Oryzias latipes: one gene and its partner. The protein of the gene in region 2 interacts with the protein of the main gene of each other region in a pairwise test. Links are inferred from orthologs where the notes say so. Each region holds a gene or a part of one and is shown on either strand. Other genes may lie near its edges.

What was found.
Region 1: the proteins of c11h1orf216 (region 2) and myrip interact in binary tests that used the Homo sapiens proteins (3 or more experiments, as listed by UniProt). The two-hybrid records come from large-scale screens. The link is inferred for Oryzias latipes from reciprocal best matches to the Homo sapiens genes C1orf216 and MYRIP.

Annotation. Positions count from the first base shown.
Region 1 is NC_019878.2:15,054,341-15,058,478, reverse strand, and holds the start of myrip (rab effector MyRIP), read left to right. Parts: upstream 1-1,338; 5' UTR 1,339-1,945; intron 1,946-4,138. UniProt on the Homo sapiens protein: Rab effector protein involved in melanosome transport. Serves as link between melanosome-bound RAB27A and the motor proteins MYO5A and MYO7A. May link RAB27A-containing vesicles to actin filaments. Functions as a protein kinase A-anchoring protein (AKAP).
Region 2 is NC_019869.2:20,028,148-20,032,097, reverse strand, and holds the start of c11h1orf216 (UPF0500 protein C1orf216 homolog), read left to right. Parts: upstream 1-1,150; 5' UTR 1,151-1,249; coding exon 1,250-1,254; intron 1,255-2,819; coding exon 2,820-3,792; 3' UTR 3,793-3,950.

The DNA.
Region 1 (4,138 bases), on a different chromosome or scaffold from region 2:
ACAATATTAACATACTTATTTAACATACATTTTAACATACATTTGTCTGCTATCTGAAGTGGGGGCCAGTTTAGCTCGTGCTGGTTTGCGGCACCTTCTGTCCGTGTAACCAGGGTTCGACTCCGGGATGCTCCCTATTCCCTTCTCTGCTGCTGTGCCGGTCCCAAACCCAGTTGGATTGAGAGGGTTGCATCAGAAAAGGGCATCCAGCATAAAAACATTGCCAAGTTAACCATGCAACTAATCCTCAAGGGAGAGTTGTTTCACTGTGGCAACCCCTGATGGGAGAAGCCAAAAGTGAAAAAAGAACTGCTATTTGAAGTGTTTTTGTTTTCCCCCAGCAATTCAAAATCATTCAGTATCTTCTTTTGTTGGTGAATTACCTTGTACCTGGAAATGCTAAGTCGAATTGAATAATGCGACAATGTTCGCAGGGTGGATGTTAAAATGAAAATACAATCCCCTCTTTGCATTTTGGTTTTAATTATGACACAGAATAAGCGGTTTTTAAGTAGAAAATGAAAAAGCATTTTGAAGTATTGATTTTGTTATTTTAATTTTGAGTCATTTGATGCAGTTACATTTTGAAAACGAAATGGCATTTCTGTTAATCTATTTTATTGATCAAATTAGACATTTCTAAATGAATTTTGCTACACATTTACCAGAGAACCTTTTGAAAATGAAATGTCAAATAACCATTTTCATTATCATTTTAATTAAGTGACTGAATAAGCAGTGTTGAAGAAGAAAATGAAAAAGCATTTTGGCGGATTGCTTTTTCATTCTCATTTTGTGTCAGAAAAAGCAGCTTCATTTTGTAAATGAAAAAGCATTTCTGGTATTGACTTTTATATGACACATGCACTGTTTGATTAAGCCAAGCTGAGGTTAAATGAAGTCACAATAGATCAGTGTGGCCAAAATAAGACACCTTTCTGGTGCTACAGTTTTCATCCTACTGCATGATAAAACAGAAACCATATGAACCGTAAAATCCAAATATTTACAGTGAGCATTTTAAGATTTAAACATGTGGAAGACCTCTGGAACAGCACTAACCATTGTGCACACATTATGATGTGGGCTGAAGGTGTAACTTCAGTGAGCAGAGGATGACTCATAGGGGTGGGGTCTCATACCTTGTGGAAAACACTGGATTTGATCTGCAACAAGTAAATGGGGCTTTTTTGATCAGCAGTTAAAACGCTGGCTAAGCTGTTTTGTCAAATGGGGTTGCAGCTTTTTGCACACAAAAATGAGCACAAATGTAATCAATTTTCTGAAACAGCTAAAATGATGCAACAAAAATGCAGCTTTTTTGTGCTGCAGGACCATTTCCTTTATTAATGCATCCAGATTTAAGTAAAGCAAAGGCACAATAGTGGGGTCATGAACTCATTTGGTCCACATATTATGCTGGGATGTTTTCCTGACTCTCTCAGAGGCTGATTAAAGCATCACAGGCTTTGTGAATGAAGCAAACACGGCGCCTCCTCCTCCTCCTTCTCCTCCTCCTCCTCCTCATGCGGGAACAGCAGTGGAGCGCAGGATGTCCAGGTGGCAGCTCTGACAACTAGGATTTGACACCAGAAACAGCAATTTTTCCGACCCTTTGCGATTGTGGTTCCGCGCTGCGGCTGTTTCACTAATATAGGAACACAGGAGGGATGCAGGTTGGGAGTGGAACCACTCACCTCGCACGCCGTGCGCCCATCTCCTCCTTCCTCTAATACAAACCTCGTGATCCATTCAGCGGCTCCTGCGTTCCCTGCTTGACGGAGAAACAATAAAGAAGCCGAGGGGGCAGAAGAGGGAAAAGTATTCGAGAGAGGCTGACAGGAAGTTTAGACGCTTGGATAGACGCATCTCTCTGCGTCCTCCTCTCTCAGAATCTGGATGAAGAGGCTGTGACTGGCGGTCATTCTGCTTCCATCGCTCCTGTGTAAGTGATTCTCCCTCCGTGGTCCTCTAAAAAGGCACAAGCAGGATTTTATTTACGCGGATTGCATATTAAAGAAAAAGAAAATACTGCGTGACTCCTGCGCCACGGTTGAACTGAAGGTTTGTGCACAGATGTTATCATCCAGCATCGTGATGCTGCAAACATGAGGTTTCTGAGCATGCAGGGAGGAAACAGCAGGTGCATCACATGTGCAGACTGAAACTATAACCAGATTATTTAAAATAAATTGAAATGCTTTAAAGAATCAGGCCAGGGGCTTTGGGAAAGAACCAAACTTTAACCCCAAGGAATGCAAGCTGAAAATCCCCTGAAGACTGGTGTATTTAAGATTGTTCTCCCTATTTTGTTTCTGTTGTTTACTGTCACCTGTTGGCACTAAAACTGGACCAGAGTCTATTCACCCACAGAATCAAGGAGTTATTTGATTTTTATTTCGAAATTTGAACCAGTAATGCAGCTCTTTCTTTAATATTCATGTTTTTCTCAGCACTTACTCACATGCACGATTATGCAGGCGGATCCAGCCATCATCTGTTTTTCTTTTAACACTTCAGGTGAAAGTGTATGTGTGCAAGGAGGGGTGCATCATCACAGATGGATGTCTCACCTTTTCAGCACCCTCTCTAGCTCTGCACAGAGTGCTGTTTAGCCAGGCAGTGATTGATGCAACACAGCAGGCAGAGGTCAAAGAGTGATGACTGATCACACGCTGTTTGAAATGCTCAGCCCAAGATAAAAGTTGAGCTGCCTCTCTTTTTCTTCATGTTTTTGCATCACATGTGCCATGATTTTGTTGAATCAAGGGAAGCAAAATGCACAGATATGTTTTCTTTGATGTTTTATTAGTTAATATATTTTTTTTAGCTAGAAAAGCATTAATATTAAAATATCATTGATGATATCTGAACGTCAGTAAAAAGGTCAGAAATAGTTTTTATTTGCCCATCCATCTTTCGTCAGGATATGATGGAAAGTACCGTAGGTGTATAACAAAAGGTTATTAAATCTCCCTAAATTGTTAGATGTAGTCCAATTAAGACAATACTTTAATGATAAACGTATAGTAAAATAACTGTCTGAGCAATTTTGATTTAAATATAATCAGGCAACATGATATATTCAACATTTCGTCCCCAAACATCAATTCATTCTAAAAATGCCAAAGTAGTGTAAAATTACGTGCAATGTTCCTGCTTCCGCAAAGGTTGACAGGTTGTGCAGAGACTAATGCTAATCTGTAGCAGGTGTTTTCATACCTTTAAAAAGTCAGTTTTTCATATCTAGTTGGCAACTTCTTTTTTTTCTGCTTTTGTTTTCTCTCTTTTAGCAAACCTGTGTTGTCATGCTGATAGATGACAGTCATATCCTTGGCAGCAAAACCCCTTTGAACACTTGTTTCTTTTGCTGTTGTCCAGTAGAAAGACAAACAGGGAAATAGTTAAAGAACACCATCAGACATAAAATGAATTTAGCTACCCATTTCTTTATTTTTTCAGCCTCATCAAACCACTGGTCCTTTCATCTCCAAGACATCTGGAATGTTTTTTTTCTCACATCTTTAATATTAGGTGTAAATTTGCGAACACAATTTTTTTAACTTGTTCACTGTGGCTAAAAAAAAGAGCAGATCCACTGTAGAGCATCTAAAACAAGCAGTTCATTTAACGCTCTGCTGCTTCTGCCCGCTCAGTGCTCCGGCAGGGCCCTGTCCTCATCTTACCCGTCTCCTGTTCACTTTCTGAGGTGGTCCACAGAACTAAATGCTCGGCTTTGGGATGTTTAAAGAGCCAGATCTTTATGTTGGTTAAAGATATGACCAAAAGATGTTCAGTGTCCTTAAGGAGAAAATCTTCAGTTCTTTTTCTTTTCTAGTGATAAATATGAGTTTGACCTTTTTTTTTCATTAATAGTCTTTCCCTCCTGTTAAGATGAGAGTGTCAGTTTGAACGTGTTACCTCTGTAATCTGTCACTTTTACACTGATGCAGGTTATTTTAGTGCCAATCTTCACATGACACTACTGACCTACCTTGTGTTTAATTTTCTTTGACAACAACATTCTTGGAAGCTCCTGTTCCTCTGCAGGACACGAGAGCATTTAATATTTTAGATGGGGCTGCATAGTTACCCTATGATTCTTCAGATTTATTTCTTATAGTAGGGTGACTCATGC
Region 2 (3,950 bases):
TTTCACTGCTAATGTTAGCTTGAAGTTTTAGGGCTGTAAGATAGCAGGAGACAGTGTAGACCTCAAACTAGGGGTTCCCAAACTATGGGTGGGCGGGCCCCTGAATAAAAATGGCCCAATATTTGCCCCAGTCAGAAAACTTGAATGTGACCCCCCCACCACCACCACATCAAAACGGAAAAATGAATGGTTTGGTAAGGGAAACATTGATCCAGAATGCAAGGTATTTAACCTAGGAAGTTAATCAGAGAAAACAAACAGTGGAGTCTACTAAGCCAGCCTCCTGGAACCTCAAAAACTGGATTATAAGGAAAGAACACAAAAACCTAAAGAGACTGCTCATACGAGTTATTGAAGAGATTCTTCACATTCTGCACATTTACCGAAGAACAACCCACAGAGATTTATTTGTTTATTATCGATTTTATATCTAAAATACTTTTACAATATATTTCCTGACTTTTTATGTGAAGAACCCAGAGAGGGTTATTTGCTTTTAATGATTTCATAAAGAATCTTTTATATATCTGCTGATTATTACTTTTTTTTTTTTTGTTGTGAAGAACCCAGAGAGGGTTTTTTTATATCAGATTGGGTTTTTAATATTTGGTTATGTGAAGCTTTCAGTTTACATTTAGGCACCCCTGCCACTGTCACACTTTTTCTGTTTTAAACTGACCCTGGCCCCCGATCAGAGAATGGAAACGTCATGTGGCCCTCCCTGGAAAAAGTTTGGGGACCCCTGGTGTAGACAAAGGGATGATAGGATATCAGTGGAGGCTTACTTCCGGGTCAACATTTCCACCCACAACTCAGACATGAATTACTAATAAACACCTGCTGCTGTGCAGATAATATGTCCTAGAAAACGACATTTTTTTTTTTTTTTATGTTTTTTTTGCCTAAAAACCACATATCAGTAACAAACAGTGACAGCTCTTCCTGACATTGTTTTCTCTTTTTGCGCTCAACCCAATTTCGGAAATTGCTCTGAGTCGCTGCTTGGCTTTTCCCAGAATCAGAAAGGGAGGAGGAGGAGGAGAAAGGAAGAGGAAGAACATCACAGAGGAGTGTCAGAGGAGGGACACTGGGAGGGCGCAGCGTCCAGCAGCGTCTGTGGAGGAGAGAAAAGCAGTCAGAAAAGGTAAGAATCGAGACTCTTTCGGCATACATGACTGCGTGTAGGTGCAGGAGCGGCGGGAGGCGCGCGGGCTGTAGATGAGAGGGGATTTTAGAGGCGCGCGCGGACATGGGGTGAGCGTTACGCAACGCGCCGGATGCTGCACTCATCTCACTGCATTCAGCGAAAATATGCTTCTATTGTCATTTTTGGACGCCTTTATTGATCTTCGCTGACAATGTGACGGCATCCATGGAGCCTCCGCGCGCTCCCTGCGCGCCCCCGCGTCTCCTGTCTCATTTACAGCTGGAACGGAACCGATACCGTTTCTCTCCGAAGAGTGATTTTATTGTCCGCGTGACCTGCAAGCATCCGCGCGTGCACTGTACCGCGCGCGCACTGGATAATGGGAGCTTTAATGCTGGAACGAGTGACCTGGATTAGGAGCTGCCATACGGCTGCATTTGCATCGTTCATGTTTGCGAACATTTATGGAGATTTTGTAAATGCGAAGAAAAATTGGTGCGTGCTTAAGACAATGTTCCTCACCAAAAATATGAAAAACATCAATAATTTAACGATCTGCATGATTTAAATTACCTCTGACCTTTGTGATCAGGAATATTCAGATGAAAATCTTTGGGAACTCATTGGATGGGATTACAGCTGCAGACTTTGGTCATGCAGGTCAGATCATTGACTGTATATGAAAACTGGACTGAGGGACGTCACCCATAGAAAATGGCTTATTTCTGGCTCCAACAAAATGAAGTCAGTTCATTCGGGATACAGTCGTCGACCAGTTTTATTCAGTGTTTCTATGGCAACCACTCTTGCCAATCGGGAGTGAGCTTGTTGGAAGGCCTCACCTTCCAACAAGCAAAGGTGCTGGTCCCCACCTACTTTTATAGCATCCGATTGGTCATTTTCTAACCTGAATAACTTGCGATGAAGAAAAAAAGTTATTAAAAAAAATTGTAAAGCTATCAAGATCATCTTGAGCGTTTCAGAGTAAACTATATCCATATATATGATAATGTATTACGCTCATTAAGGACTGAAATATGAGTTATTTTCACAGTTCATTTTCCTACTCGAAAGTAAGACGACTCGATCCCCGAGGCACCGCCTTTCGCTCCTTGATGGGCGGCACCCACCCATCCACCTACCTAGAGGCGGCCTTGGCAGCGTGTCTGGGTCTTGCCATGACAACAAACAACATCCGAACTTTTGTAAAGATAGATGTGCCTATTGTGCATAGAAAAGGCGACATGTTTGATTCACAGTGAGAATAAAGAAAAACTCTGAAACACATATTCAAGCTTAATTTTCTTCATATATGTCCTTCATTATGAGAAAGACAGCACAAGAACATGTTACAGAATTTTCATCAGAGTGGGTCTTTGAGGAGATCCCCTTCAATTCACAGCAGCATTTGTTTCTGTTGCTTGAGGCTACATGACTGCGATCACTGTTTGTCAGGTTCTCTGCTCAAAGTTGCCCATGAGCTCTCACACCACTGATGCAAGGTCCTGTTGTTCTCTGCACGCTGATGAAAGAGCTTTCCCGCTCCTGCGACATCTCCTACCGCCAGATAGTTTCACAAAAGATTCAGACGAGGAGCGCACTCAGATGTTCCTCTGAATTCCTTCTGTCTTTTCTGCTCTTCCCAGCATCTCCATCTTCTGTGTCTTTTCAGAGAGTCTCAGTCGAGGTCAGTGATGCTTCACCATCAGGACCTGAAATCCGCCTTTGAGGACGCAGACGATAGCTCCTCCCCCCTGATGCAGAACAGCAAGTTTGACAAGGACAGGAACTTCAACTTCCTGGCCGAAAAAGGGGATGACTGCCTCCCCGGAGACGAGAACCGGAACCAGATGCGCCCCCGCAACCTGGCGTTGGGGCGCGACCCTCCGAGTTCCTCCTCGCCTTCCTCGGGGTTCCAGCTGAACACGGGTCTCAAGTCGCCCCGTTCTCGCCTCCCCTGCTGGAGAACGCTGGAGCCCCTCCCCGAAATCGAGAGCGGCGATGACGGATATGGTCGCGTTCCCCCAGACGGGGCAGAGGAGGAGAGGATGGAGGAAGAGCAGGTGATGATGATGATGAATCTGAGTGGCAAGAGGAAGGAGCACCATGGGAAAAAAGGGGGCGGGAGGCAGGATGAGGACGAGGAGCTGGATGACGAATGGGGAGACAGCGATTCCGAGTCGGAGGTGAGGTGCCGGTCTGGCGGCAGTCAGTCATCTCTCAATATGGAGAGCGGCGGAGAGGCGCCTACTTTTGGAGGTTGGGACCGCATCGGGGTTGGGGAGCCCAAACTGGGTCAGACAGATGAGGCGAGCAACCTGGAGGGGGCGCTGTGCCTCCCAGGTGACCAGTCCTCTGACTCGGATGGCGAGCTGCCAGAACTGATGGACACGGTGTGGACACTGCGCGACCGCGAGCGCTTCAAGGTGCAGGAGATGGAGAAGCACCAGGCGCAGCTGACCATGTACCGCCGGCTGGCGCTGATCCGCTGGGTGCGCACGCTGCAGAGCCGCGTCCAGGAGCAGCAGAACCGCCTGCAGTCCAGCTTCGACGTCATCCTCACCCACAGGAAGGAGCTGCTGCGCATGGGAGCTGCCGCCGCTGTGGCAAGCCCCGCCCCCACAGCAGCTGTAGGCCAATCATAGCGAGAATTTGAGGACATAGAACTTTACGCCAACGACTGTCTCACAACTTCCTCTTTGTCCATTTGTCCAGCTGAGAGCTGGAGTGCAGACGTGTCAAACGCGCACTTGAGATGTATTTGTGTGTTTGTCCTGATGTGTGTAGAACCCCGATCCCAAAA